6 linked regions of the Ovis aries genome follow. The main gene of each other region encodes a partner of the protein of the gene in region 4 in a complex. Links are inferred from orthologs where the notes say so. Each region holds a gene or a part of one and is shown on either strand. Other genes may lie near its edges.

Evidence for each region.
Region 1: USP39 (region 4) and U6 snRNA-associated Sm-like protein LSm3 share a complex: the UniProt entries of both Homo sapiens proteins name them as parts of the U4/U6-U5 tri-snRNP complex. The link is inferred for Ovis aries from reciprocal best matches to the Homo sapiens genes USP39 and LSM3.
Region 2: USP39 (region 4) and LSM7 share a complex: the UniProt entries of both Homo sapiens proteins name them as parts of the U4/U6-U5 tri-snRNP complex. The link is inferred for Ovis aries from reciprocal best matches to the Homo sapiens genes USP39 and LSM7.
Region 3: USP39 (region 4) and SART1 share a complex: the UniProt entries of both Homo sapiens proteins name them as parts of the U4/U6-U5 tri-snRNP complex. The link is inferred for Ovis aries from reciprocal best matches to the Homo sapiens genes USP39 and SART1.
Region 5: USP39 (region 4) and PRPF4 share a complex: the UniProt entries of both Homo sapiens proteins name them as parts of the U4/U6-U5 tri-snRNP complex. The link is inferred for Ovis aries from reciprocal best matches to the Homo sapiens genes USP39 and PRPF4.
Region 6: USP39 (region 4) and LSM8 share a complex: the UniProt entries of both Homo sapiens proteins name them as parts of the U4/U6-U5 tri-snRNP complex. The link is inferred for Ovis aries from reciprocal best matches to the Homo sapiens genes USP39 and LSM8.

Annotation. Positions count from the first base shown.
Region 1 is NC_056080.1:116,709,933-116,713,491, forward strand, and holds U6 snRNA-associated Sm-like protein LSm3, read left to right. Parts: upstream 1-2,024; 5' UTR 2,025-2,037; coding exon 2,038-2,346; 3' UTR 2,347-2,649; downstream 2,650-3,559. UniProt on the Homo sapiens protein: Plays a role in pre-mRNA splicing as component of the U4/U6-U5 tri-snRNP complex that is involved in spliceosome assembly, and as component of the precatalytic spliceosome (spliceosome B complex).
Region 2 is NC_056058.1:19,031,788-19,037,203, reverse strand, and holds the start of LSM7 (U6 snRNA-associated Sm-like protein LSm7), read right to left. Parts: upstream 3,389-5,416; 5' UTR 3,370-3,388; coding exon 3,364-3,369; intron 3,217-3,363; coding exon 3,126-3,216; intron 594-3,125; coding exon 522-593; intron 1-521. Other genes in the region: SPPL2B (signal peptide peptidase-like 2B), read left to right, coding at 3,389-3,595. UniProt on the Homo sapiens protein: Plays a role in pre-mRNA splicing as component of the U4/U6-U5 tri-snRNP complex that is involved in spliceosome assembly, and as component of the precatalytic spliceosome (spliceosome B complex).
Region 3 is NC_056074.1:40,494,595-40,500,047, forward strand, and holds the start of SART1 (U4/U6.U5 tri-snRNP-associated protein 1), read left to right. Parts: upstream 1-2,211; 5' UTR 2,212-2,265; coding exon 2,266-2,578; intron 2,579-4,602; coding exon 4,603-4,660; intron 4,661-5,039; coding exon 5,040-5,095; intron 5,096-5,453. Other genes in the region: TSGA10IP (testis-specific protein 10-interacting protein), read left to right, coding at 84-183, 383-507, 1,241-1,373. UniProt on the Homo sapiens protein: Plays a role in mRNA splicing as a component of the U4/U6-U5 tri-snRNP, one of the building blocks of the spliceosome. May also bind to DNA.
Region 4 is NC_056056.1:57,465,163-57,469,946, forward strand, and holds part of USP39 (ubiquitin carboxyl-terminal hydrolase 39), read left to right. Parts: intron 1-1,426; coding exon 1,427-1,521; intron 1,522-2,957; coding exon 2,958-3,094; intron 3,095-4,784.
Region 5 is NC_056055.1:10,446,592-10,451,980, forward strand, and holds the start of PRPF4 (U4/U6 small nuclear ribonucleoprotein Prp4), read right to left. Parts: upstream 3,344-5,389; 5' UTR 3,260-3,343; coding exon 3,227-3,259; intron 2,491-3,226; coding exon of another isoform or gene 2,488-2,490; coding exon 2,310-2,487; intron 449-2,309; coding exon 262-448; intron 1-261. UniProt on the Homo sapiens protein: Plays a role in pre-mRNA splicing as component of the U4/U6-U5 tri-snRNP complex that is involved in spliceosome assembly, and as component of the precatalytic spliceosome (spliceosome B complex).
Region 6 is NC_056057.1:84,395,943-84,401,168, reverse strand, and holds the start of LSM8 (LSM8 homolog, U6 small nuclear RNA associated), read right to left. Parts: upstream 3,304-5,226; 5' UTR 3,239-3,303; coding exon 3,208-3,238; intron 2,055-3,207; coding exon 2,014-2,054; intron 1-2,013. UniProt on the Homo sapiens protein: Plays a role in pre-mRNA splicing as component of the U4/U6-U5 tri-snRNP complex that is involved in spliceosome assembly, and as component of the precatalytic spliceosome (spliceosome B complex).

The sequences.
Region 1 (3,559 bases), on a different chromosome or scaffold from region 4:
TTTACTAATCTGTCTCACCCCCCGATCAAAGCACATTTACCTTAATTTACCTGACTTAAGTCTCAATCACTTCCACCTAGCAGTCACCAGCCACAGCTGGTATTTGCTTTTGTCGGCCTAAGAATCTTCTGTTACCATCCTCACCTTGAATCTGCTGAATCTGCTTATTCACTCTCACCTCTTCAAGCTGTGTTCCCTTTATCCTAGTCCTGCTACTGCTGCTGCTGCTAAGTCACTTCAGTCGTGTCCGACTCTGTGCGACCCCATAGACAGCAGCCCACCAGGCTCCCCCGTCCCTGGGATTCTCCAGGCAAGAACACTGGAGTGGGTTGCCATTTCCTTCTCCAATTCACGAAAGTGAAAAGTGAAAGTGAAGCTGCTCAGTCGTGTCTGACTCTTAGCGACCCCATGGACTGCAGCTTACCAGGCTCCTCCATCCATAGGATTTTCCACGCAAGAGTACTGTAGTGGGTTGCCACTGCCTTCTCCTTATCCTAGACCTAGGCCTTATCTGATTTCCAGTAGATTTGGGATTATAATTGATTATATGACTCCTGTCTATTCTTTGACATTTATTCACTCACATCCAATGCACTCAAAATATATTCATTGAGTGTCTACTACTAGTCACTGTGATAGATACTAAGGATAAAGTGGTGAACAAGACAGACATGGTCTCTGCTTCTGTGGAGTTTAAAATTTAGCAAGAGAGATAGTCCTTAGTAATCACAGTAATGAATGTGCTCAGTAGCTCAGTCGTGTCCAACTCTTTGCAGCTGCATGTAGCCCGCCAGGCTCCTCTGTCTATGGGATTCTCCAGGCAAGAATACTGAAGTGGATAGCCATTCCTTTCTCCAGGGGATCTTCCCCACCCAGGGACTGAACCCGGGTTTCCTGCATTGGTGGGCAGGTTCTTTACCATCTGAGCCACCAGGGAAGCACCCATGACTTAGTACAGCAGGGATACTAAGGCAGACATGTGGACTCCTTTGTTGGACAACTTTGGCTCAAGGTCTTGCAGAAGTTTCCTTAGACTGCCTGGTAGTCTCAACTGCTTCCATACATCCTTTTCTCTTCTTTCCCTCCTTACCAGTCAGGCTTCACTCACAGCTCCTTCTCTATTTTCTTTTTTTTTAAATATAAATTTATTTATTTTAATTGGAGGTTAATTACTTTCATACAGTCATTTCTCCTAATAAAATCTTGCCGTGTTTAATCTTGTTTTGACAAGAGCTTCTTGGAGGTGTAGAATAACATAAGTAGAGTGGGTATTTGAGATTCAGGAAACAGTGTTTACTTCCTAGGCCTAGATCTGAGTCACATGACTTGGTAAGAAAACCCAAAGCTGTGAGACTTCAAGAAAACTTAATGTTTGGTAGCTGTATATGCATGACCAGGTTATCAGGAATAATAAAGTCAAAAGGGGTGAGGAGGAAGATGCTGGGGCACTGGCTGCAAGCCCTGTCGTTGCCTTCTGCCATCCAAAAGCTGGGGAAAGATCTCTGAGTGTCTTGGGGAAGCTAGTATTTTCATTCGGCACCATCTTACGTGGCTGGCTCTGGTTTGTCGGCCTGGCTCCAGATGTCATTCTTTTCCTCCATGATTACCAAGTGGTTGCTACATCATCACGTGAGAAAATACTGGGTAACGCAGTAGAGAATTTGGGATCCAGGCTTTACTTCTTTCCTAAAGATGATCTCATTTGGTCAAGGTCTGTCTTCCAACTTCCAAAAATCTCATTTTTCTTGGTTTCAGCTTTTCCACAAGTTCTTTGCTATGTCTTTTGTCTTTGTAAACATGAAATGTTTTATTTTCTTCACTCAATTAAAATGCGTTTTGTGGGGACTTCCCTGGTGGTCCAGTGGTTAAGAAAGACTTCACCTTCCATTGCAGGGAATATGGGTTAGATCCCTGGTCAGGGAGCTAAGATCCCACATGCCTTGTAGCCAAAAAAACATAAAACAGAAGCAATATTTTAACAAATAAAGACTTTAAAAACGGTCCACATTAAAAACAAAACTTAAGAGGGTTTGAAAGATGGCGGACGACGTGGACCAGCAACAAACCACCAACACTGTGGAAGAGCCCTTGGATCTCATCCGGCTCAGCCTGGACGAGCGCATCTACGTGAAGATGAGAAACGACAGAGAACTTCGAGGCCGGTTACACGCTTATGATCAACATTTAAATATGATATTGGGAGATGTGGAAGAAACTGTGACAACTATAGAAATTGATGAAGAAACATATGAAGAAATATATAAATCAACAAAACGGAATATTCCGATGCTCTTTGTGCGGGGAGACGGCGTTGTGCTGGTTGCCCCGCCATTGAGAGTTGGCTGAAACGAGAATCCGCCGCCTGTGGGAGACGGGCTGTGCTGTGCGGTGGCCTCTTTGAGTGTGGAAGATGTTCCAAAGAGAGACCGATGTGCATCTTGATGCTGAAAATAAGCAAGAATTCTTCCACTCCTGAAATAAGTTGATTTGTAGATAACTCACAAATACTTCAGCTAAACGGCATTTTTATTTTTCTCCAACCCTTCCAATAAATGTGATCGGCGCGATACAGAAAAAAAAAAATAAATAAAAAAATAAAAAATAAAAAAAATAAAAAAAAATAAAAAATAAAAACAAAACTTAAAAAAATATTCATATGTTTTCAGCTCTTCCTTTCTTTTGAATTCTTTTTTTTTTTTTTTTTGGTGGGGAGAAGTACAGTTGCTTTACAATGTTGTGTTAGTTTCTGCTGTACAACAAAGTGAATCAGCTATATAGCTCTCTTCTTTCCTTAATATTTATTTATTTGTTTGTTTGCCCTGGGTCTTAGCTATGGCACACAGGATCTTCAATTTTGTTGCGACATGTGGGTTCTTTTAGTTGTGACATGTAGGATCTAATTCCCTGAATGGGGATTGAACCCCAACCCCCTGCATTGGGAGCCATGTGTCTTAGCCACTGGACCACCCAAGAAGTCCCACAGCTCTCTTCTTGAAGAGGCAGGTGTGTGTTCTGAAAAGAATGGGAATGGAGATGGAATCTCGACTCTACCACTTCCTACATGTGAGACTTCGTGGAAGTTAATTTTATGAGCCTTGATTTTCTTGTTTATAAAATGTAGATAACACCACCTACCTCCCAGGATAGTTGTGAGGATTAAATGAGTTATGGTATATAAAAAAGACCTTGTACATAGTAGATATAGAAAATATTAGTTCCCTTTTAGCTCCCATACCAATGAAAGTCTTGGGAGAGCTATTTCCATTTTAGTTTTCCCACATTTCATTTATCTGAGGACAAATAAGTCCCTTTTCTTGTGCATTACCTTTTATTATTCAAATCTTCGGTGCATTCAAAACTCATATGGCAAGTAATTGACTCATCATAAAGACAAGGAGCTTACAGGGCTGCAGAATGAAAACCTGAAAACTACTAATTAGAATCCATTCATTCATTCACCTATTTATTCACCTAATATTTCTCCTATTATGTCTCCCCTGTGTGAGGCTAAGTGTCCCCAAGGCTTACATTTTCAGGATAGATCATAGCATGGAATTGG
Region 2 (5,416 bases), on a different chromosome or scaffold from region 4:
TGCACCAGAGTAATGTGTACTTCAACATCGACAGTCCCTGGAGGAGTGAGACCCCCTTCTCTCCTGAACCTGGGGGCTCCGTCGTGCAGCACTCAGGCTGAGCTGGTGGGTCTGGGGACTTGTGGAGACGGGGACAGGAAAGGAAGGGGAGGGGACCCTTTGTCAGCAGCAGGGAGTAGACAGATAGAGACAGCAGGAGAGAGGGGGCAGGATGAGGCCCCTGGAAGCCAGCTTTATTGTGGCAGGTGCAGCACCTTTCTAGCCCCACCAGGCAGACTTCAACTCCAGCAAGTGCTGAGGGTCGGTGACGAGTGAATCCGGAGAACACTCTACCCTTGAAGTCCTGAGGTGACAGTGTACTGAGCCCCACCAGGACAGTGGCAAAGCAAACACACTTGTCAGCAGTCTGACCCACTAGGCGCCACATTCACGGTGGCTCAGCATATGGGCGGCGGCCTAGGAACAGTAAAGAAGGCCTTACTGCTCGGAAGGATGCTTCCGAGCCCTGCAGCTGCACTCACCTCGCATGTACTCGATGGTGCCGTCCAGCACGAGGTTGAGCAGCGGGTCGAACCCTTTCAGGATTCCACTGGCTTATCGGAATCACCAAGCAGAGAAGAGAGATGGACAAGCATAAGATCAATGGTCATTCTGGGTAAAGTGCGAGCTGCACGAGGGTGTCAGCACATGAAATTGGGGTGCCCTCACTGGTGAGGGACCACCCCCCAGCCAGACGCAGGCGTGGCAGCAGCCTCTTCAGGGACAGGACAGATGCAGGACCAAAGGGGGAGCAAGGGAAGGGCTCCCAGGAGACGAGCAGTGACAGCTGACCCCACACCATTGCCACTGCAACAGTCGGCAAATCCGCCTGCGCCTGTTTTGTAAACAGTTTAACTAGAGCCCGGCCCCGCTCATTTGGTAAATGTCGCTGTGGCAGCTCAGCTGCTGAATGGTGGAGTTGAGGAGCTGCGACAGAGACCGTCTGGCCAGCACAGCTGAAAATGTTCCCTGTCTGGTCTTCTGCAGAACAAGTCTGCCAGGCCTGCCTGAGTGCGAGGCCCTGGCTCTGCTTCCTCTGCTGTTGACAGCCCTCCTCAACCCTGTGACGGTGCTCACCAAGTGGGGTGATGGAGAGTGACAAATCCCAGAATCCATCTGGGCACTTGGCCCCGGGTTGGGTAGTGAGCCCACACCTGTGGATCCTCCCTTCTTACTGGGGGAGGTGCCGCAGCAGGTGGGTGGGATTTTCAGATGAATCCAGCATTCCCCCACCCCTCCCTCTGATGTGAGATGGGACCCTCGATCAGACGTCAGTCTGTGGTCAGGCTGTAACAGAGGGCTTCGTGGATGTGATCAAGGTCCATGAATCAGTCCACTCTTAGTGGATCTAAAGGGAGGCTATGCTGGGTGGGCCTGACCTACAGGTGAGCCATTAAAAGGATGGGCCCTTTCTGAAAAGAGAAGTTGAAAAAATTAGATTTTTCTGCTAGCCTTGAAGGAGTCAACTGCCATGCTGTGGACAGTGTCTGTGGCAGAGGCAGTGGGCAGCCTCTAGGAGCCCAGAGGGTCCCTGGCCAACACTTGCCAGAAAACGAGGACCCCGGGCCTGAGATACAGGCTCCCAGAGATGCTCCCTTACTGCAACCTCGTCAGAGACCTGAGCCTGAGGCACCTGGAGTCTGGAACCACAGGTGCTGTGAGATAAAAATGGGTTGTTGAAGCACAGAAAATGAACAGAAGGGACTTCCCTGGTGGTCCAAGTGGTTAAGAATTCATTCTGCAGTACAGCAAATGTGGGTTCCATCCTTGGTCTTACATTCCATGGAGCAACTAAGCCCATATGGCATAATTAGAGAGACCTGGCCTGACATCTGAGACCTTATGCAGCTAAATTAATTAAAAAAAGACAAACACAAGCGCCTTGAGAAGCAGGAGCCCCATCTCCTTGTACATCCCAGAACCGGCATGGTGCCAGTGTTTGTTCAGATTCAGAGCCTCACTGGGCTGGGTACCTAGACGGGCAGGCACTGTGTTTTTAGCCACTCTGATGCTACCCAGGCGTCCACATCTCAGAGGAGGAGTCGTCTGAATCACCATCTTACCAACAAAGAAACTGAAGATCAGAGATAGCTGAATAAGTGAAGCACTGGGTGCTGACTAAGTGTCAGGAACTTGGCTAATGACATTACCCTTTAATTTCACCACCACTGCTGAGGTAAGTGGAGTTAACAGCCTCTGACAGATGAGACAGACTCAGAGATTATAGCGACTTGCCCAAAGTCCCACAGCCAGTGAGCTGGGGCTCTGCCCTGGACGGCACTCTCCACGTAACCTTGCATCATCTTTCCTGCCAGTCTCCTCACGAGATCGCAGAGGGAGATGCAGTTAAAGCCTCACAGTAACTGAAAAAAACCTGCCAAGCCCTGACAGCTGTTACCAGGAGCTTATACCAAAGGACCCTGACTTGGGATGCAGAGTCAAGCAGAGCTTCCCAAAGCAGCTGAGAGCTGCCTGCCTCACTCAAAAGCAAAAGGCTCATTCTTTACCCTGGAACAGTGGTGAACAAGGAGATGAGGTTTGCTTTCAAAAGGTGCCTCAGGTGGCTTCGTGTAAATTGAGTATAGGGCCTGGGTTCTCAACTGGGGCAATTCTGCCCCTGCCAGGGAACACCAGGCCAGGTCTGGGATGCCTGTGGTCATCAGAACTAGAAGGCTCCTGGAATCGAGTGGATGGGACCAGAGATGCTGCTCCACACCCTACAGCGCCCAGGACGGCCCCCTACAGAGAACAATACGGTCTTAATGTCAGCAGTGCTGAAACTGAGAAACCCTGGTGCTGAGGGGGCCCATGGGGGGCTGGGGCAGCCGCCAGGGTGAGACAAGACCCAAAGGAAGCAGAGACCTGAATCCTAGCCCCTGTGGCTGCGGGCGAGGTTTGGGCCCCTTTGCGTGCCTCAGTTTTCCCACCTGCAAAAGGGGTGTAACCGTTCCTATACGCCGGCGCCGGCAGCAGGCCGGACGAGTTGTCCGAGCCAAGCGCCTAAAGCGCGGCCCAGGCATCCGTTACCGGTACCGCCTCCCGTTACTCCTCGTGGACTGTGGAGGGGGAGGGCAGCGGGGCCTCACCTTCTCTGCCTCCCTGGAACTTCACTCGGATGGTCTTGTCGATGTACTTGGATAGATCCAAGATGCTCTCTTTCTTTTTCTTCTCTTTGTCCTGCAGGGGATGCAGAACGCTGTGAAGCGGGGAGCACGGCTGGACTCTCCCCAGTCAACCCCACCAGCCCCGCGAACCCCGCCAGCCCGGCGAACCCCGCCAGCCCGGCGAAACCCGCCAACCCCACCAGCAGCGCCGCACGCTCACCGCCATCTTGTCGCGCCGCGTCGCTATGCGCAGGCGCCGCCACTGCGCCCTTTGTACCTACCCCTGCGCGCATGCGCGAAAGACGCAGGGCGCCTGCGCGGCGCTCTGCGCCGGGGCGTTGCTGGGAAACATCTGCCGACGCCTGTGGCGGGGACCGGGCGACATGGCGGCGGCGGCAGCGGCGGCGGCGCTGGCGCGGCTCGCAGCGGCCTTCCTTCTCCTCGCGGCCCAGGTGAGGGCGGCGCCGACCCCGTTGGCCTCGCCGGCCACGGTGCCCCGGCTTCTCACCCCTCCCTGGCCCCGCGCAGAACCCCGCCCTGACCGGCCTGGGGCCAGCTTAGGGGATCCGCGCCCCCGGTGCCGGCAACCCGTGGGCCTGGGGCCCGACCGTGACCTTGCGGGTCTGTCCCCCGGCCGGTCTCCCTTCTCTGTCTGGACGCCGTTCCCAGCCGTGGTGTCACTGGGTTCCGCCCGGACCTAAAGTTTTAGGTCCCACTACCCCGCTTCCGCCCCGGCCCCTGCTGGTCTGTCTCGGGGTCTCCAACCGCCTCTGGGACTCCCCTCTCTGACTCCGTGGCCTTAGTCGGGGGCTACCCCTCTCTGACCCTGGCATCCCCTTGAAAGCGATACTACCCCCATTCCCCGTGGTTGTAGTCAACTGCCCAGCGTGGCACCCAGTGACTGGCGGCGTCGAGAAGCGTCCAGGAGCCCAGCCCTGGAATGGGGTCGAATCGCCGCCCCATCTTTTTCTGCCGTGACCTTGGCAGGGGAGTTCCCGCTTTGAGTTGGTCGTCTGCAAAAGGAGGATAAGTGTACAGTGCGCAGTCAGCGAGATGATGTAGGGGATCCCGGACGTGGGGCATGCTACTTGTTTGTCACTTAACCTCAAGGGTCGCCACTGGGGGACAGACCTGGAGATGGCTGATGTACGTTACCTTGAGTGCATTTTTTATTTTCCAAACCCTCCCTCTCTCCCAAATTCCATAACTCCGGAAATGGTGCCCCCCCCACCAACAGCCCTACAAACTGGGCCATTAACGTTGCCCTTTCTGTGCCAGCCCCCCAACCTCTGCTTCAGGCTGCTGGCTTCTCTCCAAGGCCGCTTTTGTCCCCCAAACTCCCAGTTCATTTTCAGCCCTGCAGGAGGGATCTCTTTCAAAGTGTGTCAGATCTTGTGTCCAAATGAGAGCTTTCTGGTGCCACTGACACATTCAGGAGGACTCTGTGATCCGGCTGACAGGAAACCATCCTTTGTTTCCAACTCTAGCATATTAAAGGCACTTTGCTCACTGGGCTCTGTTTCCCTGAAACCTAACTCCCTCCAACGTTGTGTTTCTGGTCTCAGCTTAGGGGTGCCACATTCCAGCAGCTTTCTGACCCACCTCCTCCCCAGGTGCTTTGCCAGCTCCCTGTATTTCCCCCAGCCCTATTTGCTCGTCTCCCTCAGCAGTCTGACCCATTGGAAGCAGGGATTTTGAGCTCTCTAAATATTTAGAAAAAGGAAAAAAAATGGCAAAGCGATAGGTGGGCGAAGGGTCACAAGAACACCACAGAAGGAACGGCGTGGTTCGCCTGGGAATGATTTTCAGAAGCAAGAAGCAAGGGTACCAGAGGGGCGTTCTGAAGGATGAGTAGGAGTTTGCTGGGTCAAGAAGGTGTTCCAGGGAGAAAGTTGCAGGTGACGAGGGCAGGGCTGGAGGTGTGAAATCTGGTGATTTTTATTTTTTTAATAGCAGATATTTATTTAATTTTTATTGGAGTGTGGTTGATTTGCCATATTGTGTCAGTTTCAGGTGTACAGCACAGTGACTCGGTTATATATATATACACACACCCCTTTTTAGATTATTTCCTATATAGGCCATTACACAGTATTGAGTAGAGTTCCCTGTGCTATACAGTAGGTCCTTGTCGTTGTTTAGTCATTAAGTTGTGTCCAACTCTCATGATCCCGTGGAGTGCAGCCTACCAGGTTCCCTGTCCATGGGATTTCCCCGGCAAGAATACTGGAGTGGGTTGCCATTTCCTTCCCCAGGGGATCTTCCTGACCCAG
Region 3 (5,453 bases), on a different chromosome or scaffold from region 4:
AAACAGGAAGTCCTTAGTGAGGGCTCATGAGTGGGGATGGCGTGAGTCGATGGTCAGCTGCCCAGAGGCCCGTCTCCCCTCAGGCGCCAGGAGCGACAGCGCTTTGTTGAGTACCAGGCAGAGCTGCAAGGCATCCAGCACCGGGTGCAGGCCCGGCCCTACCTGTTCCAGCAGGCCATGCAGGTGAGGCTGGCACGTGGGCAAGCGTGTGGGCTCCCTGGAGAGCAGAGCTTCTCACCGGCCGAGAGGGTAGGGAGATGAGGCGGGAGGGGCCCCCTCAGTTTGGACCCTTGAAAAGCCCTGGGACCCCCTGGAATCAGAGTCTCACGGTGTCCTCGGGGCAGCCCAGGTGAGAGAGGGGGTCCCTCTGCTTTCTCCTCAGGCCAACGCCCGGCTCAACGTGACCCGGCGCTTCTCCCAGGTGCTGTCGGCGCTGGGACTGGATGAGGAGCAGCTGCTGGCCGAGGCGGGCAAAGGGGACACGGAGGGCGCCCCCAGGAAGCACAGGTGAGGCCCAGCTGTGGGGAGATAGGGCACGGCCACCAGTACCCTGCCCCGCGGGGTCTCAGCTGCCGCCTGCCCCGGGGAAAGGCTAAGGGGCCTCCCCCGCAGCCACATGGGTCCACCCTGAATTTAGACTTCCATCCTGCCCTGTCCACTCCCTGGCCGGGAGGACTCAGTCTAGCTTTCGCAGTCAGCAGGGCCGTCCCCGGGCCCTGTCCTCCATGTCACCTGAGGAAGGCAGGGCCAAGGTTATTTCCCCACAGAACGCTTACACTTCAGAACAACCTGGTGCAGAGCAGAGGTTATCAGGCTTCGGGGGCGGGGGTAGTCTCCCACTCAGGGTCTCAGAGTGTAAGAGCCACATTTGAAACCACTGACATTGGTGATGAAGGCCTTGCCCCTCCTACAGCCCAGGTCTCCTTGGTTATGGGGGTGGGGAGTTGCAGAGCCCAGTGGTCTCTACTTGTGTCTTCATCTTTAAGGGGCCACAGGTCAGTGGGGGCGAGAATGGAGCCCTCTTCTCAGAGCCCCCCAAAGATGGAACACACTGGCAGCCAGGCTGACCAGCACTTCGCCCCAAATCCAGACCAAGAGTTGAGTCCCTGAGATAAAAATTAAATGCTTTGTGGAAAACACGGTGTGGGATTTCTGGCGGTGGTGGGAAGTGGCTGTGGGTTGGGAGCAGGCCGTGGCAGGTGGGTATGCAGCACGCTTGGCTTGTGCTCACATCCCCCAGGAACCCTGGCTGTTGCGACGGCCCCCGCCCAGCACACACGGCTGTGTCTCTGCCCAGAGGAGCGAGTGGGGCATCTCCCAAGAGCAACAGCTGCAACTCCTACCAATGCTGGGTCCTGGAAATTCAAGAGTGAACAGGACAGAATGCCTTCCGCCTTTGGGAACGCCCAGTCCTGTGGGGGAGGGGGCGGGCCTTTAAAAGGGCGCATAATCACACCCTAACAGATGGGCTGGCAGATCGAGCAACTGGCAAGTGGGGGTGTCAGGAGGAATTGTGTGAACTGAGCTTTTAACTACAAGTTAACAGTCTCCTCAAAGGAAAAGAAAAAGAAAAGCTCACACACACACGGATGTGCCAAATTTTGCATTCGATTTCAGGGGGTTTACAGATACACAGAAGCTCAACTCGACCTCCGGGGCAGTCGCAGAGCTCAGGTTAAAAACCCAATCCAAGGAGCGTGGCAAGGCAGCGTTGGCAGACAATACTAGATGTAGGGGTTGGAAGGAAGCTGGACTGTGGAGCTGGGGGCCTCGGGAGAACATGCTACGTCGTTTAACACCCGATGGAGCCACGACCCCAGGCAGTACACTAGGAGGACGCCACTGGAGAGGTGGACCCTGCCCAGAGACAGTCCGTGAGCCAGTGAACATCCGTAATTGAGGGTGTGAAAGCGGAGGGAAGCCGGGAAGGGGCTTCCAGCTCTGGCGATCCTGGCTTGGATGGTCCCTAGGTCCCATTCTGGGATACTGTCTTCCCCAGACCCAGTGGCGAACCTTGAGGCGCGCATGCGCAGTCGGCCCCCCGGCTCAAAGACCGCTACCCCGGCTAGGCTGGCTGCGACTGCGCAGTCGGGTTCAGATCCCGGCCTTCCCATGAGCCTTTGGGGCAGGCTCCGAGGCAAACGACGGAAGCAGCCGCTCTTGGTTTCCGGCAACAGGACACCGGCTGTCGGGCGACCCGGAAGTGTTCCCATTTTGCGTCGTCGGGGCTCGGCGGCGGCCGGGCTCGGGGTTAGACAGACCACCATGGGGTCGTCAAAGAAGCACCGCGGGGAAAAGGAGGCGGCAGGAACTACAGCAGCGGCCAGCACCGGGGGCGCTACCGAACAGCCGCCTAGGCACCGGGAGCACAAAAAACACAAGCATCGGAGCAGCGGCGGCGGCAGTAGCGGCGGCGAACGACGGAAGCGAAGCCGAGAGCGTGGGAGCGAGCGCGGGAGCGGGCGGCGCGGGGCCGAAAATGAGGCTCGCAGCAGCACGCACGGGCGGGAGCGCAGCCAGACAGAGCCCTCCGAGCGGCGCGTGAAACGGGAGAAGCGGGATGATGGCTACGAGGCCGGTGAGGGGCCTGTGCAGGGGGCGGGGCGACCGGAGGTGCCTCGGGTATGTGGGCTCTGGGTATGGAGGCCGAGCGCACCAGGCCGAGGCATCCTCTGGCTTTTTCGTCAGCACTTTCTAAAGGGTCTTCCTATGGCTATTTGGGACTGAAGGTTGTCTTTCTTTGTTAAACTCTCTGAGGGTAGAGATTTTCTTTGTTTTCCTCACGACCCCTCCCTGAATGTGTTGAATGAATGAAGCGATGGTAGCATGTGCAGAGGCAAGAACAAACATGTTGTCAAAGTTGTGTAGAGTTCATAGGAGAGACAGCAGTCTGTAAGAGAGACACGGATCTGAACACTAAGGGCCATATAGGCCCTGTTAAGAAAGTGAAACTTGTTTTGAGAGGAAGCCATGAATTTGAACTGACGAGTGAGTTGATCACATTCATATTTTGCAAAGATCTGGGAGAAGGGCAGTAGAGACTGGAGGTGAGATGAAGGCTGATGGTGGCCTGCACCGAGGCATTAGCCATGGGATGGAGAGACGTGGACAGATTGGAGAGGTGTTTTGGAGGAGGAGGTGATGGAGCTTAGCATTTGGATGAGGGCTGGAAAGAGAAGAAGGAATTGAGGGTGTGCCTTGAATTTTGACTTGAGCAACTAGTTGAGTGGTAGTGATCTCTGCTGATGTTATCCTGGTGGTTCAGTGGTAAAGAATCTGCCTGCAGTGCAGAAGACAAAAGAGACAAGGGTTCTATCCCTGGGTTGAGACGATCCCCTGGAGGAGGGCATGGCATCCCACTCCAGTATTCTTGCCTGGAGAATCCCATAGACAGAGGAGCCTGGAGAGCTATAGTCCACAGGGTGGCAAAGATTTGGACACAACTGAAGTGACCGAAGCACACATGCACAGTGCTGTCGACTAATTTCAGGAGTTTGGAAGAGAAACAGATTTTTGGAGGGAGACAACCGAATTCCGTTTTGGAGAGTGTTGAATTTTATGTGCATGGAGAAACTCAGGGCTTGGGCTGGATAGAGCAGTTTGGGAATCATGAGTGTTTAGGTGGCATATGAAGTCCACTGAGAGACTAGGAGTAGGAAGCCTACTGGTAGGAGAACCTGATAAATGCTAGTGTCTTAGTATTACGCTGAGCAGGAGGCTACGAAAAAAGGAGGTAGGCTGTCCCCCAAAGCAGGAAAACCATAGAATCTCGTGTCAGGGGATCTGTGGGAGTGATCATCTGTGTCACACACTGCTGGAGACCAGATGAAAACCAGAGCTGAAAAGAATCCTTGGGGTTTTGAAATAAGGAGGCTGGTGATCTTGGAGAGAGCCTGGAGTGGTTGGGATTCAGAGTTCAAGTGGGATAAGGTACAGAGGTAGGTTGTGAGGCGAACATGCTGGAACGATGAGCTGTGGTGGCGCCTGGTAGGGGCAGCTCCGTCTGAGTCCGAATCTGACTTCTGCATGTGGTGTTCAGTGAAGTCACTTGCTGTTTGTGAGGTGAGTAGAGGATGTCCTAAATGCTCCTGTATCTCAGTGATCTCAGCAACATTACAGAAGAGGCTCCAATAAGTATATTTCTTCACTGCATGAATTACACAGAGGGCATAGTTATGCTGCCAAGATGGTCCCTACCCTGTGAGGAGAAGCAGGTCCAGAAATGACTGTGGCAGTGTTGTGCAGAGGAGAGCAGGTCATGCTGATCAGTAATGGAGCAGGACTCCAGGGAGGAAGTGGGGTCTGATAGGATTTTGTTAACAGCCTGAGGCCAGAGAAGGCAGTGTAGGTTGAAAGCACAGGATACGCAAAAGTGGAGAGGTGGCGAAGTGAAGGATGTAGAAAGCTGGACCCTTTGGATCAGGAAAGGAAGGTGTGGGGAGAAGCAGCGTTCTCAGAGCCTGGGACTCGGATGGAAGGAGCTCCTGGTTGGGGGGAAGCAGGCCGAGGTGCTGACCTCGTCTTCGGCCCTGCACCTGGAGCCAGGGCTGCGGCTCCTGGGCCCAGTGCTCTGCCCCTGAGCCTTGCTGCTTCTTGTTCCAGCTGCCAGCTCCAAAACTAGCTCAGGCGATGCCTCGTCACTCAGCATTGAGGAGACCAAGTAAGTCCTGTCTCCTTTTCATTTCTGTGTTTTCTTGTGGGACAAGCAGCTTCTGGGGTAGCTGTCTGGGGAGGCTTTCGCGTAGTACATGTTCTGATTGAAGTTGGAAGTGTCATGTAAATCATCCTAGCCAACCAGCTGAGTTCCCGAAGTGGACTCTGAGGCCCAGGAGAGCATGGCCTTGCCCTGGCTAGGGGGCAGGCCAGGCCTTCCGGCTGATTGGGAGGCCGGTGCTCTTCCCACTGCTGGGTCAGGCCCTAGGTTTGAGACCCTTCGGACCACTCAGTCCCTTCCTGTTTTCTCCCCCTCTTTGTCCAGAAATGCATTTGGTGCCCCCATTTCTTGGACAGCTCATAACACTTGTATCTCTTGTCCTCAGTAAACTCCGGGCAAAGTTGGGGCTGAAACCCTTGGAGGTCAATGCCGTCAAGAAAGGTGAGTGTGGGGCCGAGGGTGATGGGAGAGAGCGCATTTGGGATCAAGAAGTGAGGCTGTCTGGAGGGATTTTTGAAGAAAGTGGGGTTGGAGTGCAGGTCAGCACCCCTCAGTGGTCCTGTGTGGGTGCTGGCTGTGGCCTTGGGGTTTCCTTGCTGCTGTGATGGGGTTTGGGATTCGGCTGCTTGTTTAAGCTTGAGCAATTGACGTGGCAGCCTCAGTATGGCTGCGAGGTAGCGTTAAAGGGACCAAGAGATGTGCACAGTGCTGCACACTCATCTGCGCTGTGCACGTGTTGGGTTTTTTTTGTTTCAGTTTGGTTTTTTAAAGTATGACCAGAGGGGCTTTGGAAGGCATG
Region 4 (4,784 bases):
ACGACTGAGCAACTGAACTGAACAGTATGTGCCTGGGCTTCCCAGGTGGCTCAGTGGGTAAAGAATCTACCTGCCAGTGCAGGAGATGCAGGAGACTTGGGTTCAGTCTCTGGATTGGGAAGATCTCCTGGTGGAGGAAATGGCAACCCAGTCCAATATTCTTGCCTGGCAAATCCCACCGACAGAGGAGCCTGGTAGGCTATGGTCTGTGGAGTCGCAGTCAGACACCACTGAGCACGCACACACATGATGTGCTAGGTACTGCTCTTGGTGCCTGGGATTCAGGAAAGGAAAAACAGACAAAGACATGTCCTAAAGCAGAGGTGGTCATCTCATCCCAGTGCATTCTTTGGTCCCCCAGATGCGTTACAGGATGGTTTTTCACTTATGCTCTAGTGTAGCCTTGACTACTGGACTGCTTTTGCAACATTGGAATTGCTCTTCGTAACAGTGGAATTGTCCATGTGGTAGGCACAGACCACTTGTGGCTGTTGAGCACTTGAAATGTGGCTTGAGGAACTGAATTTTAAAGTTTGTTTTAATTATTTTACATCAATAGTTGTGTGTGGCTAGTGGCCCCTTTAGTGGACAGTGCAGCTTTCCAGGGACCATTAACGATTAATTATAGAGTTAATGCTTGAGAAGGAAAACCCTTGGCACCTGTGGATTTAGTAGAGGTAACTTTTTTTAAATTACTTAACTTGCCTGGTACTCACCGTGACTTTGCAGTTGAACAGATAGATCTTTTTGTAGGTATTCCCCTACAATTCTTCAGGCTTCTGACTTTTTTTAATGGACAGAAATAAAATTTTCTTTTACGAAAGGGGTTATTTACTCTTTTTATGTCCTTCATTTTATGTCTTTTATTTTGGAATGTTGTTAGCACCCTGTTACTTTGGTCCTACTTGTGGCTTTTCCTCCAGAGAAAGTAATGGGAGATTCTCAACTGGTTGTGGATACTCAAAGAGGGTCATTGGTAGAGATACCTTTGCACTACTTTGGGGGTTGGTGGGTTGGGGCGCTATATTAAGTATCTAGGTGAAAGTGTTAGTTGCTCAGTTGTGTCTGACTCTTTGCGACCCCACGGACTGTAGCCCACTAGCTTCTCTGTCCATGGAATTCTCCAGGCAAGAATACTGGAGTGGGTAGCCATTCCCTTCTCCAGGGAATCTTCCCAACCCAGGGATTGAACCCGGGTCTCTTGCACTGCAGGCAGATGCTTTACCATCTGAGCCACCAGGAAAGCCCGAATGTCTAAGTAAGGAAGAGTTAACGTTCCCCATAATTTACATGTGATTGTTGACCTGTTCTTGGAAGGATGCTGCATGACGCTGGGGAGCATGGAGCCAACGGCGTTGCTTTACTCAGGTGCTCGCCTGGGCCACCATCACCATTAACTGTTTCTGTTTTGTTTTAATCTTCTTAGGAGTGTGCTGGACTTTGACTTTGAGAAATTGTGTTCCATCTCCCTCTCGCACATCAATGCATATGCTTGTCTGGTGTGTGGCAAGTACTTTCAAGGTAAATAAATATTTTGCATTGTGTTTTCAGCACTAGCCACAGGTCTGTGTGCTGACTGTGTGCTGTGTGCTGGCTAGCCGTAGGTTTTTGTTGTTGTGTTTTTTTTTAAGAGAGTAAGTTGCTGTTAAGAGTCATGTCTAATAAACTTTTATCTTTGTTCCCAGGAAATTGGAATACTCTTAGAAAATCCATAGGAGGTTCTCTATTTGTAAGAATCTGAATACATGTGAAAGGGAGAAAGAACTTGCCACATGTGAGACTGTTTGGGAAATCTCAGAAGTTCTAGTTTTATTATTATTTTTTTAAGGTGGTGGCTTTCTCTGCCTAATGCTGGTCGTCACCGGTGAAGGAGGACAGGCAAGGCCACTGAAGCCCTGCTGTCTCCAGTTCCACTGCCTCTGGCCCTGCTGCTATTTATTTAACTTTTCTGTTTGATTGTTTGGCCTGTGAACCAACCACGGGGGAGAGCTCTGGGATTGGCTGGCCCCTGGTGCTGACTGGCACTGGGTTTTTGAATCTCTGATATTTTTCTGTACTCAATGTCTTTTTCTGAGAATCCTTTTACTGTAAGGAGTTTTTTTCATTCTGTCCTTTTCTGAAAATTAACTGTATCAGTTTATTCAGACCAAGCTAGTGCAATTTGTGCAGTATAGTGGAGGATTTAGAAGAAATGTAAAGTACATTCCTTGCTCTTATAAGGATCTGATAAATAGTCAAGGGTAACACACAAAACAATCAGCAAACTCTCTTAAGACCATAAAGATTACTACTGGCCCATGTGGTACCGAGTGTAAATAAATAAGGACAATAGGAGTTGAAATATGCAAAGGTCACTGTTAGCTGGAATGTTTATGTCAAGTTCATGAAGGAGGTGAAGGAGGAACTTGTTCTCTGTATGCAGTATATACAGTTTGAATGGGTGAAGGGTGAAATATTCTAGAAAGGAGTGGTAACATGAACAAAAGTTACGTAGATATGAGATTGTCCTGAATGTGGGCAGCTGGAAAATTAAGACTAAGTAATGATGGAGATACGTACATATGTGTATGTACGTGTATTATTTATAATATATGCATGCATATCCCTAGTTTCTGATAGCACATGAAACTAGCTTGTATACATACACATATACTTACTCACACATGTATACATACACATATGCACATACTCACAGATAACCACACATTTTCCATATTTGTGTATATGAAATTAGTCCCCCTATGTTTTATGTTATCTAGAGAATAAAGTGCTATTCTTTCTTGCTGACTTGTATGATGAGAGGAATTCATGCGGAGATGAATTTTCAGGAGTGGTGTAGTGCTTTGTTTTTGCTGATATTAACATGTTCTGGTACGAAATGAAGAAGGGAAAATTACACACGGTCTGTGCGCTTGTGGAGTCTGTGCTTCGCTCACAGCCTTTCCTCCTTCCTGCAGGCCGGGGGTTGAAGTCTCACGCCTACATTCACAGTGTGCAGTTTAGTCACCATGTCTTCCTCAACCTCCACACCCTCAAGTTTTACTGCCTCCCCGACAACTATGAGATCATCGATTCCTCCCTAGAGGATATCACGGTGCGTGTCCAGGAGGGTTGGTTTGGAACTAGTTCTCTTGGGAGCTACCCCAGGGCTCCTGGGGATCTTCCCCACTCAAGGTCAGGAGAGAGTCTCAGGCCTTTGGACTTAGAGAATCTCCTTTCTCTTTGGGAGGAACCAGGGAAACTGAAGAAAGAGGTCACGTGTGCTCAGTCGCCTAGTCGTATCCGACTCTCTGGGACCCCATGGACTGTAGCCCACCAGGCTCCTCTGTCCATGGGGTTATCCAGGCAGGAATACTGGAGTGGGTTGCCATTTCCTCCTCCAGGGGATCTTCCTGACCCAGGGCTCAATCCTACTTCTTCTGCATTAGTAGGCAGATTCTTGACTACTGAGCCGCCTGGGAAGCCCCACAATTTGTAGTCATGGCCCATGGTCTGCAGCTTAGCTATTGTTTCTATTTTTAGTTAGGACTGAAGAAATAGGGCACCTTTGTAATTGGGGTGAAAGCATTTTTATGAAATAAATTACCTTTCCACACTTTGGTGTAGTGATGTGAATTGAGCCTGGTGTAGCCAGGTATAGGACAGAGATTTATACCAGCTCACAGCTCCTTTTTGGACTTCCCAGGTGGCCCTAGTGGTAAAGAACCTGCCTGCCTATGCAGAAGACTAAGAGACACGGGTTTGAATCTTCCCTGGGTGGGGAAGATCCCTGGGTGGGGTTGTTATTCCATGCATAGCAACCCATTCCAGTATTCTTGCCTGGAGAGTCCCCATGGACAGAGGAGCCTGGTGGGCTACAGTTTTGCGACTGTATACTCCATAGAGTCATAAAAAGTTGGACACAACTGAAGTGACTTGGCACGCACGCATGGCTCCTTTTGACATGATGTGGCCAAAATGGCCAGCGTGTTCCACCTGCAGGCTCTGATTTGTGCCTTATGCCAGGAGTCCCTGTACTTAAGTGGGGAGCCTGGAAAGTCCTCTTGGGCTTTGATTACTATTGGAACTGTTGATTATTGTTTTCCTTTTCAGCAAGGGGCTGCATGTTCAGTAGAGTGGAATGTTCTATTTAAGGAAAGCTTGGTGTTCAGAGTGTTTGAAACACTAACCCCACTTCCATAAGTTTCATAGTCTTGTTAAAATTGAAGTTTTAAGTGGTTATGCACAGAGGGAGAAACTGAAAGGAATTCAAGCCTTTTTTATAAAATTCAAGCTTTCAAAGTGAGTCAGTGGTGACTTCCCTGGTGGTCCAGTGGTTAAGACTATGCCTTCCGATGAGGAGGGTGCAGTTCGATCCCTGGTCTGGGAGCTGGGATCCCACATGCCTTGTAGCCAAAACAGCAAAACATAAAACAGAAACAAAGTGGGTCAGTGGTGCCCTCTGACCAGCCTGTGACCTAATGACCCTCATAGCTCTGGGACTGGGAAGGGTCTGATCCGCCCCTTTAGTCACAGGGAATCACAGCAGACCTCCACAGAGAGGGGGAACGACATTCTTGCTTATGCAGCAGCCTACATGCTGACCCTGCATAAGCTCCTACCTGGGACTCAGACTCCCACCACTTGCAGACTTGAGTATCCTACAGTTTCTCTCTGTTGTTTGTTATGGGGTTGGCCAGACATGCTCTCTGAGGGAAGGCCTGGGACTCAGTGATTTTGGGTTGTTGATAATCACCTGGCATGCTGTGATTTATGGGGTTGCAAAGAGTCGGACATGACTGAGC
Region 5 (5,389 bases), on a different chromosome or scaffold from region 4:
CGAAGAGCCAACTCACTGGAAAAGACCCTGATGCTAGAAAAGACTGAGGGCAGGAGGAGAAGAGGACGACAGGATGAGACAGTTGGATGGCGTCACTGACTCAATGGACATGAGCCTGAGCAAGCTCCGGGAGACAGTGAAGGACAGGGAAGTTCATGGGGTCACAAAGAGTCGGACATGACTTAGTGACTGAACAACAACAACTAAAATCTGGAACTATAATCCTGTGATTAAAAAAGAGTAAGTACTTAGAAAGGGTACCTTTCTCTTCTTTCAGCAGGACCTTCTCCAAAAAGTGTGATGGGTTCCCCCAAAGCTCTAAGGCAAGCTTTGACCTCTGAGTCATCTGTGGAAACGTTGATTTGCCGGGCTCGCTTCCTTCTCTCAAACTCTGCTAACACTTCAGCCTGTCTCTCACTGATGTGCTCTTCAATTTCAAACACTTCTCCTATAAACAGAACAGGCAATATCAGCATAATCACCAATCTTCTTTAATTAAGGAGAGAGAAATAAGTTCTTACAACTGGAGTTTGCACGCCTCTGCTGCTGCTGCTAAGTTGCTTCAGTCGTGTCCAACTCTGTGCAACCCCATAGACGGCAGCCCGCCAGGCTACCCCATCCCTGGGATTCTCCAGGCAAGAACACTGGAGTGGATTGCCATTTCCTTCTCCAATGCATGACAGTGAAAAGTGAAAGTGAAGTCGCTCAGTTGTGTCCGACTCTTAGTGACCCCATGGACTGCAGCCTACCACGCTCCTCCGTCCGTGGGATTTTCCAGGCAAGAGTACTGGAGAGGGGTGCCATTGCCTTCTCCGCTGCATGCCTCTAGGGACAGTTAACTAATCTGTTAGAAACTTTAGTTTCTCAGTTTATTAAAGTATGCCAAACACAGAAAACTAAATGAGGTTTTAAAGGCCAGAAACTGGTTCAAGTCATCTTGTTTCATTTGGCAACTTACACTTACATAAACACACAGCCTTCATGAGACAATGAGAATATGGAGCACTTTTAACAAGTTATCTAGGCTTTCTATCCATGGCAAAATAGAAACATTATTTCAACAGTTGCCAAAGCTACTCTCTGAAATAGTCTCAGTATAGGAACACTAACAAATCTAACAGTGAACTGGAAATAATTACCATGAAAATGATAAAGCCTTAACTACAAGGCTTTTTGGATAATCTAGTAGCTAGTTTTAAAACTCACATAAAAAACAAGCATTTGGATGAGAAGTGAGAAGTACAAGGGTGATGCAGTCATGTTTAAAATAACATAAAAGGTTTAAAACTCATGAAAAGTGCACACGTATAGAAAAGAAAATGTGTGGGAGGGTCGATGAGAAACAACAGAAGTCCTATCTGCACAGAAGTCTTTTTATACCCTTCCATACTTTCTGAATTTCTTATGACAAACATGAATGATTTTATTTTTAAAATATAGTAGACTACTAGTTACTGGCATGAAAAAATACCCTCAACAGTGTGTGCATACTTACTGGCTTACTTGTTTCCAACTCTTTGAGAGCTGGTAGACTGTAGCCCACCAGACCCCTCTGTCCATGGGGTTTTCCATGCAAGAAATACTGCAGTAGGTTGCCATTTCCTCTTCCAGGGGATCTTCCCCACCCAGTGATCAAAGCCACCTTGTCTCCTGTGTCTTGCACTGCAGGTGAATTCTTTACCCACTGAGCCATCAGGAAAGCCCATTTAACAGTATCACAATGACAAACGCAGCTTACAAAACAATTGGTTTATCGTGATTTCATTTATGGGAAAAAAAAGTGTATTTTTATAGCTTTATTAAGTTCTTGAAATGACATAGCTCCAATTAATACAGATTACAGGTTTTTCTACTTCATATGTTTCTTTATTGTTTAATTGCTTTCAAAATAAAGATGGCTATCACTTTAAAATTTAGAAGAGATAATTTCATTTTGGGTGAAAAACAGTTGAAAAACTAAAAAGAGGAGAATATTAGGAAACACAGTAGCTCCAAGCTAACGCCAGAACTACACTAGATCTCCAGAAGACAAAGGAAATCACTCTGAATTCAAATACACACTGAATAAATAAATTCCTAGTAAAATTACTAACAGTTTACTGAAGGAAAACTGTATAAAAGGTTTTAAGAAAAAGGTTCTTTGGATGATAAGACCAAGTCAGGTAGGTGGAGAATATGGACTTTGATAGGTGCAAGCTTATTAGTTGTAGTTTCTTGACATAAACTAGTGATATTTAAGATGAAGAAGGTAATCATTACAGAAAATTTGAGCACCAAAGGTAAAGATGAACTCACAATTTGAATCTTACCAGAGGTTATGTTAATGTTTCCTGCTTCAATTCCTGCTTTGAGTCCTTCTTTTCCCAAAAGCCCAGATTCTCCTTTGGCCAGACGCTCCCTCTCCTTCTCTTCCAAACTTCCATAATAGATGTGTGGTTTCTTCACAACAGGAGCCACTAAGTCATCTGGTGCCTTAGTTTTGGTTGCCTGCTAAAACAAAGACCTAGGTTAACCTAAAGCTTAATCTTAGCAGCCTAATAGGTTTCGCAGCAGAATGAAGCTTATTTAGAGCTTCAAACCTATTTCTTCCCCACACAAAGGACAAACCAGACACCAGTTAAAATGTGTCTTCCTTAATCTGGGGGTGGAGGGAAAGAGTGGTTCCAGTCTCTTAATCACTTAAGTTTTGTAGATAGGAAGAGATGGATAAAACTAGTCAATTTCTCGTGCTGATTTTTCTGTCAAAGGTTTTCTCTTGAATATGTGTATTTCATACGGCTGCAGCAGGTGAAATCTCTTCTTGGCTTTTATGAAATTTCCACAATTACTGCTCATCACAGGGGTATCAAGGATAACTGAAATAACCAACGCGATGGTACGGGGGCCAAGTTAGAAAGCTACTGTTCATACATTTCAAACGTTTCGGATATGAAGCAGTAGATAAGTTAGGAGGCCTCGTTACAATTAAGAGTTCTGAAAGTGTCATAAATCTTGGCCAAGACTCTACTCCCTTTCAGAGCTCCGTTTCTGAACCAGACGGAAGAGATATTTACATTTCGGGGCTGGAGTGAGAGGTGAAAACGAGCTAAAACAGATGGAAGCACCCAAGAATTAGGAAAACACCGAAGCCTTCCTCCTCGGCCCTCCACCGCCGTAGCCCGTTCCCTAATGGCCCTGTTTCGCAGGGACCCCCCCACCCCCTCAGCGCTCCCTGCCAGAATGAGACCTGTACCGTGGAGGAGGGTCGTGAGGAAGCCATGCTGGGCTCCGGGGACGCGAAGCCTCAGCGAAAGCCGCGCTCTACGTTTCAGACCGTCCACCGCGCGCCCAGCAAAGCGGAACTACGTCACCAACCGGAAGTGGTCCTAGGTCCGACGCAGCATCCTGGGAGGCGTGGAGCATTATGGGAATCGTAGTAGGAGGGAGTCTGGGCGAGTTGAGAGATGTGATCTGTAGAGCCTCAGAGAGAAGCACGCGGAGGCCAAGGTTCTGCGAAGAGAGAAACTCAGAGGCAGTGTGGGAAGTGTAGTCCAGTTGGCTTAGCGGATGATTCGGGGTGGGCGCCGAGGTTCCGGAAAGGGACTGAACAGGCCTGAAAAGAGGTAGGTGCGGGGAATCGCGCGGCTGCGAACTGAACTCAGGGAGCGAATCGAGGGATTCCGGGGCCTACTATCGGCTCCCGGCCCGGCCAGGGGCTCTAAGTCCTCCTGGCGCCAAGGCCTATGTTGCCATGGAAACTCTCGCCCTGGACCCTTGAGTGCAGCCCAGGAGCTGCGGCGGGAGTGCTGTTCTCCTCCACTGTCAGGAAGTTCTCTTGGCAGTTTCTTCTGGGCTGGGTAGGTTTTCGGTGAATTTGGGCAGTGGTGAAACAATAAGTTCAAAGAGCCCTCTAGCGCCGAAGTGAAATAAAGACCAGGCGGAGGAGCCACGCCCCGCTTTTGCTGTCTTCAGCAGGTCTTTCTGTCTTATTCCGAGAGAGATGATGAATGTGAGGCGTCAGGTAAACTGCAAGCAAGCAACTTGCACGACTCTGCTGCCCTGGGTGCTGGGGCATCAGAGGCGGACAAGACAAGATTCTTGCCCCCTTGTAGGGCGTGAAAGTGAAAGTGAAGTCGCTCAGTCGTGTCCAACTCTTTGCAACCCCATGGGTTCTCCATCCATGGGATTTTCCAGGCAAGGGTACCGGAGTGGATTGCCATTTCCTTCTCCTTGTAGGGGGTGGAGATGCTCAAAATATTGATGTTTCCAGAGCTGGAAAGAGCCCCCTCCTCTCCCCTAGGCCTCTTTCCGATAATAATGCCTATTTACTGTGAAAAATTCTGAAAGAGATGGGAATACTAGACCACCTGACCTGCCTCCTGAGAAATCTGTATGCAAGTCAAGAAGCAATAGTTAGAACTGGACATGGAACAACAGACTGGTTCCAAATCAGGAAAGGCATAGTAAAGGCAATATATTGTCACTCTGCTTATTTAACTTATTAGATGCAGAGTACATCATGCAAAATGCCAGGCTGGATGAAGCACAAGTTGGAATCAAGATTGCCGGGAGAAATATCAATCACCTCAGATATGCAGATGACACCACCCTTATGGCAGAAAGTGAAGAAGACTTAAAGAGCCTCTTGATGAAAGTGAAAAAGGAGAGTGAAAAACTTGGCTTAAAACTCCACATTCAGAAAACTAAGATCATAGCATCTGGCCCCATCACTTCATGGCAAATAGATGGGGAAACAATGGAAACAGTAACAGACTTTATTTTGAGGGGCTCCGAAATCACTGCAGATGATGACTACAGCCATGAAATTAAAAGACGCTTGCTCCTTAGAAGAAAAGCAATGACAAACCTAGACAGCATATCAAAAAGCAGAGACATTACTTTGCCAACAAAGGTCCATCTAGTCAGAGCTTTGGTTTTTCCAGTAGTCATGTATGGATGTGAGAGTTGGACTATAAAGAAAGCTGAGCGCTGAAGAATTGATGCTTTTGAACTGCAGTGTTGGAGAAGACTCTTGAGAGTCCCTTGGACAGCAAGGAGATCCAGCCAGTCCATCCTAAAGGAAATCAGTCCTGAATATTCATTGAAGGACTGATGCCACAGCTGAAACTCCAATACTTTAGCCACCTGATGCAAAGAACTGACTCACTTGAAAAGACCTCGATGCAGGGAAAGATTGAAGGCAGGAGGAAAAGGGGACAACAGAGGATGAGATGGTTGGATGGCATCACTGACTCAATGGACATGAGTTTGAGTAAGCTCCAGGAGTTGGTGATGGACAGGGAAGCCTGGCATGTTGCAGTCCATGGGGTCACAAAGAGTCAGACACAACTGAGCAACTGAACTGAACTGACTGAGTGTTTGCTAAACGCCAGGTTTCATTACAGGAATT
Region 6 (5,226 bases), on a different chromosome or scaffold from region 4:
CAACCCCAGAGATGGCGCCCACCAGGCTCCCCCGTCCCTGGGATTCTCCAGGCAAGAACACTGGAGTGGGTTGCCATTTCCTTCTCTAATGCATGAAAGTGAAAAGTGAAAGTGAAGTCGCTCAGTCGTGTACGACTCTTCGAAACCCCATGGACTACAGCCTACCAGGCTCCTCCGCCCATGGGATTTTCCAGGCAAGAGGACTGGAGTGGGGTGCCATTGCCTTCTCCCTCCAATGCAGTATATGTGGGTTCAATTCCTGGGTTGGGAAAATCCCCTGGAGAAGGAAATGGCAACCCACTCCAGTATTCTTGCCTGGGAAATCCCATGGACAGAGGAGCCTGGTGGGCTACCGTCCATGGGGTCATAAAGAGTAGGACATAACTTAGCGACTCAACAAATTCTATCAAGTGAAATATGTGTCAAAGGAATACAGAACTGCTGAACTTTAGTTCTCGAAATGTTCTTTTTAAATGGCTTTCCTTCTATAAAGTTAAAACAAATTTCCAATTTATCATCTATACCATTAAAAAAAAATTTTAAACCCAAGGTTTCCACAAACTAAAAAACTATTTGCAAATATTTCTTAATAGCTATAACTTCTCAAAGTTAAGATGAGATTAAAATATTTCAAACTCTCTTAATTTGACAAAATACAATGTGAAGTACCTTAAAAAAATAAACAAAACCATGACTGCTCTCTTGATTAAAAAGGAAGCAAGGCGACTGGCCTTAGGCTTTGGAGTCAAATTTAGTTTAAATCCCAGTTTGGCTCTGCCACATACATTCATATGACTCTGGGAAAGTGACTCTTTTTCTGATCCAGGTTCTTAGCTTAGAATGCAGGGCTAGTTCTTCCTCACAGAGTTGTACTAGGATTAAGTGATGTAACACACGGGACATGCCTGGTACATGACACATGTTTAATAAATGGCAAAGTCTGACACTTGGTAATTGCCACTTAAGGACCCACTGAGAAAAACCCCAAGGATTAAAAAGAAAAAAACATCAGTTGCAGAGTAGGAAGATAGAAGAACAAATTCTATGAATTATAGAAGACAATAAAGTTTAGCAGCCTTAAAACTTTTTTGAAAGTTAACAATCATGAATTATAAATGAAATTAAGCCACCAAAAATCATGGAATAAATTCCTCAGATCAAGGAGAGAATCCAAGACTTTTCTGGAATTAAAATGGGATACAGCGATAAAAGGAAAAATGAGATGAAATACACTTCAATATTCATCATAATTTATTCTACAGAAGCACGAGATTCTACAACCTAAGAATATCTGAAGATTAACAATGTACATGTCTTAAATGTTCATTATATAGAGGTAGTATCTAAATCTTTTTTAAAAGTTTCCAAAAAGCACACACACACATTTAAAAAAAAAAAAAAAAAAACAACCTGTATGATTCATGTAGTAGATGTCAGAGCACTAAATGAGGAAGGAAATAAAAGATGAAGCAAGATAAATACAAAATATAGACAAATATCTGCAGACTAGACCAGAAGTTCTCTAAGGGCAGATTCTGTTATTCATCCAAGCTTCTAGAAGAAGCCTTGTATGTAACTTACAGCCAATGTTTATTAATGAAAAAAACAAAAAAAAAAACGGATTGGCAGCTATTTATCAAAGAGATAAAGAGTTGAATCATAAGAAAACTGCAATGCAGGTGTACTCTGGTGCCTAGGCACTGGAGATCAGAGGTTGTACATAAAAATTTACAACCAGTAAGCCTTCAAGAGTGGGCTTCCCAAGTAGCACTGCAGCAAAGAATCCACCTGCCAATGCAAGAGACGCAGGAGATCCGGGTTTGATCTCTGAGTTGGGACAATCCTCTGCAGCAGGAAATGGCAACCCACTCCAGTATTCTTGCCTGGAAAAGTTCATGGACAGAGGAGCCTGGCAGGCTACACTTCAGGAGGTCACAAAGAGTCTGGGACAACTGAGCATCACAGGCAGAAAAGCCTAAAAGAAAGCAGAGAATGAATACACCAAATACTTACCACAATCATTCTCCCATCAGAAGTAATGACAGCAACAGTTCCTGATAACTGAATCAAGGAAAGCATTTCTAAGGGAATGCAAACTGAAAACTTAAAATCTGGTAAGTAAATGGCTTAAATTACTAGGAAAAAAGGTGACAGAATTAAGATACAACTATTTAACACAGCCACATTTACAACATAAAATTGTATGTTCTTAATTCTCTGTGACAACTACACAATCTAAAAAAGGAAAAATAGAAAACATCCTTTTTATGAGATCAGTGTATTCTATCTTAAAACAAGCTGGGATGTTTGGTACTCATTTTTAATGAGGGAATATTGCAAATATGAAAATTGAGCAAGATATTTTTCCTTTTTTTAAACCTGTTTCATCATCTCTGAAACGAAAATTGGATGAGTGCTATTCAATGTCAAATGATTTAATACGTTAAGACACTGTCTTCTAGGACCTGCCTTCTGGAATTCAAAAGAAACTATAATCAATATCACAAGTATCAATATGCTTGCATCATTTAAAAAGAAAAACCTTTAGCATTCCACTTTTGTCCCAAATTTGTACATGAGAGCACAACGTAATGTTTCTGTCCCGAGACTTTAAAATGGTGCATAGAGTACTATTACAGGAGCTTTTTAAAGCTATTTGCCCCACAAGCCGATCTATTACAACAGCAAGCATTATTTTAATTCCATCAACAATAAAGTTGAGATTTCAGCTGGTAAAGGGGCAGACATTCGATTTTTGCATCATCTGTAAAGTTTCTGCTATCCTTGAAGACTGAGCAAAGCCTATGAATAAAACAAACACATAGATTTGTGAGTCCACCGTCGCAGCTGGTAAAACTATCTTATTCCCAAACGTGAACGTATAGGCCCGAGGGAAATGGAAAGGGTGAATCAATAACTGATTTCTATAGAGACACGGAAAAGTTCAGAATAATCTTGTCGGTTTTGCTCGGCTTTTCCATCAAGTTAAGACGCCTTGGACCAGCAGGAGCTGCGGGCTCCAGTCCCAGGGGTGAGCCTCCTTAACCTCTGTATCCCCACCCCGAGACCCAAGCCCGTCAGTGGCTCGGTGCCCCAACCGCCCGCCGATCCCGACCCCTGGCCTTTCCAGCACTGGTCCACTCCGGGGCCAGACGTGGGCCTCACCAAGGCCTTAGCTAATGCCCGCGATAGCCGACTGAAGGGTACGGTTGATGTAGTTCTCCAAGGCGGACGTCATGATACGCGACCTGGCAACTGGAAACACAAGAGCCCCGGCGTCCAGATGAGCTAGAAAGGACCGCCAGGGAACAGCAGCCTCTCTCGCCGACTGGCGGCAGCAAATACCGCGAGAACTACCGCAGGGCGGCCTCCGCGAATCAGAGACTGAAAGAAACCGGCCAAGCATTCCCGAGATGCAAAGCGACGACGGCCTTAATGCGCGTGTGCAGTATGTTTCTGCTCTTGCGGGTGATATTGGAAGCCGGAAAGAACCAAAGAGAACGGGCGGTGGGAGAAAGAAAGAAAGAAGCTCCCTGAAGATGGGGAGAAGGTGGGCGAGCGCGCTTCATAGCGGAATGGAAGGCTTTAGTGGCAGAAGTTACTAAGGGGAAATGTTGAGAGAAGATGGGGAAGGCAGGAGAAAACCGAATAAGGTTTTTGTTGTGTGTGTTTTTTTCCCCACAAGTGAAGTAGAGACTAGTGCTGTTCTGGTATGAAGTGTAGACGCCCGGATGTGGAATCCCTAATTTTGTACTGCAGAGGCCGAAAATTAACGTTTTAGAAGCTAAACGACCCCGGACAAAGTTCCACAGTTGTACCGTATGGTATACATATCTGGAGAAGTCAGTAGTTAAAAGCATGTTCGCAGTTTGCATTTGCTTCTAAAAGTGCTGCATCGTGTTCACCCGCAACTATCAACCATTGTTATTGTGAATGGGCTATACCCCAATACAAATGTTTTTGTTGTTAAAAAAAATTTTTAAATGGTGCATCGCGGCGGCGTTGTCACTCATTCATTTTGTCACTCTGCCGTGTCAGAGTCTTTGCGACCCCGTGGACTGTAGCCTACCACGCTTCTCCGTCCATGGGATTTTCCAGGCAAGAGTTCTGAAATGGGTTGCCGTTTCCTTCTCCAAAGGGTCTTCCGGACCCAGGGATCAAAACCGGGTTTCCCACATTGTAGGCAGACGCTCTGGAGAAGGCAATGGCAACCCACTCCAGTACTCTTGCTGGAAACTCCCACGGACGGAGGAGCCTGGTGGGCTGCAGTCCATGGGGTCGCTAAGAGTCGGACACGACTGAGCGACTTCACTTTCACTTTTTACTTTCATGCATTGGAGAAGGAAATGGCAACCCACTCCAGTGTTCTTGCCTGGAGAACCCCGGCCTGGTGGGCTGCTGTTTATGGGGTCGCACAGAGTTGGACACGACTGAAGCGACTTAGCAGCAGCAGCAGCAGCAGCAGGCAGACGCTCATTGGAAAAGACTGATGCTGGGAGGGATTGGGGGCAGGAGGAAAAGGGGACGACAGAGGATGAGATGGCTGGATGGCATCACCGACTCGATGGACGTGAGTTTGAGTGAACTCCGGAAGATGGTGATGGACAGGGAGGCCTGGCGTGCTGCGATTCATGGGGTCACAAAGAGTCGGACACGACTGACCGACTGAACTGAGTCAGATGCTTGACAGTCTGAGCTAATAGGGACTGAATCCAAATGGTAGAGTGTGAGTCTTCCTTAGGAAACAGTCTTTCACCACACCCCAAAGTTTCCCTCTCCTCAGGTTATAAAATCAGTTACTTTTAAAAGGCTGGCAGGTCCGCTGCTTATTCCTGGAAAGGACTGATTATGGAAGAGCTTGCTAAATAAGCAGCAGACTGGGTTCTAGTCCTGCTGTGCTAATGAAATGGTGTATCCTTGCACAAGTGACATCAGCTCATCTGGGCCTCAGTTCCTTAAATTCTACCCCATTTATCATTTTGGATATTTAATGTGTGTTACTACAAAACATTTATTTTACTGTGATACTCTAGATTCAAAGGACTTGAAGTTAGAAAAAAAAAAAATCCATATACAAAATACCAGAGTTATTTTTCCTTTGTACAAAATTGCCTTAGGATGTCAGTTAGGGGTGCTGTTTCTATTTTTTCCTCTCGCCCATCTCCCTCACCATCCCACCCCTCTAAGTTGATACAGAGCACATGTTTGAGTTTCCTGAGACATAGA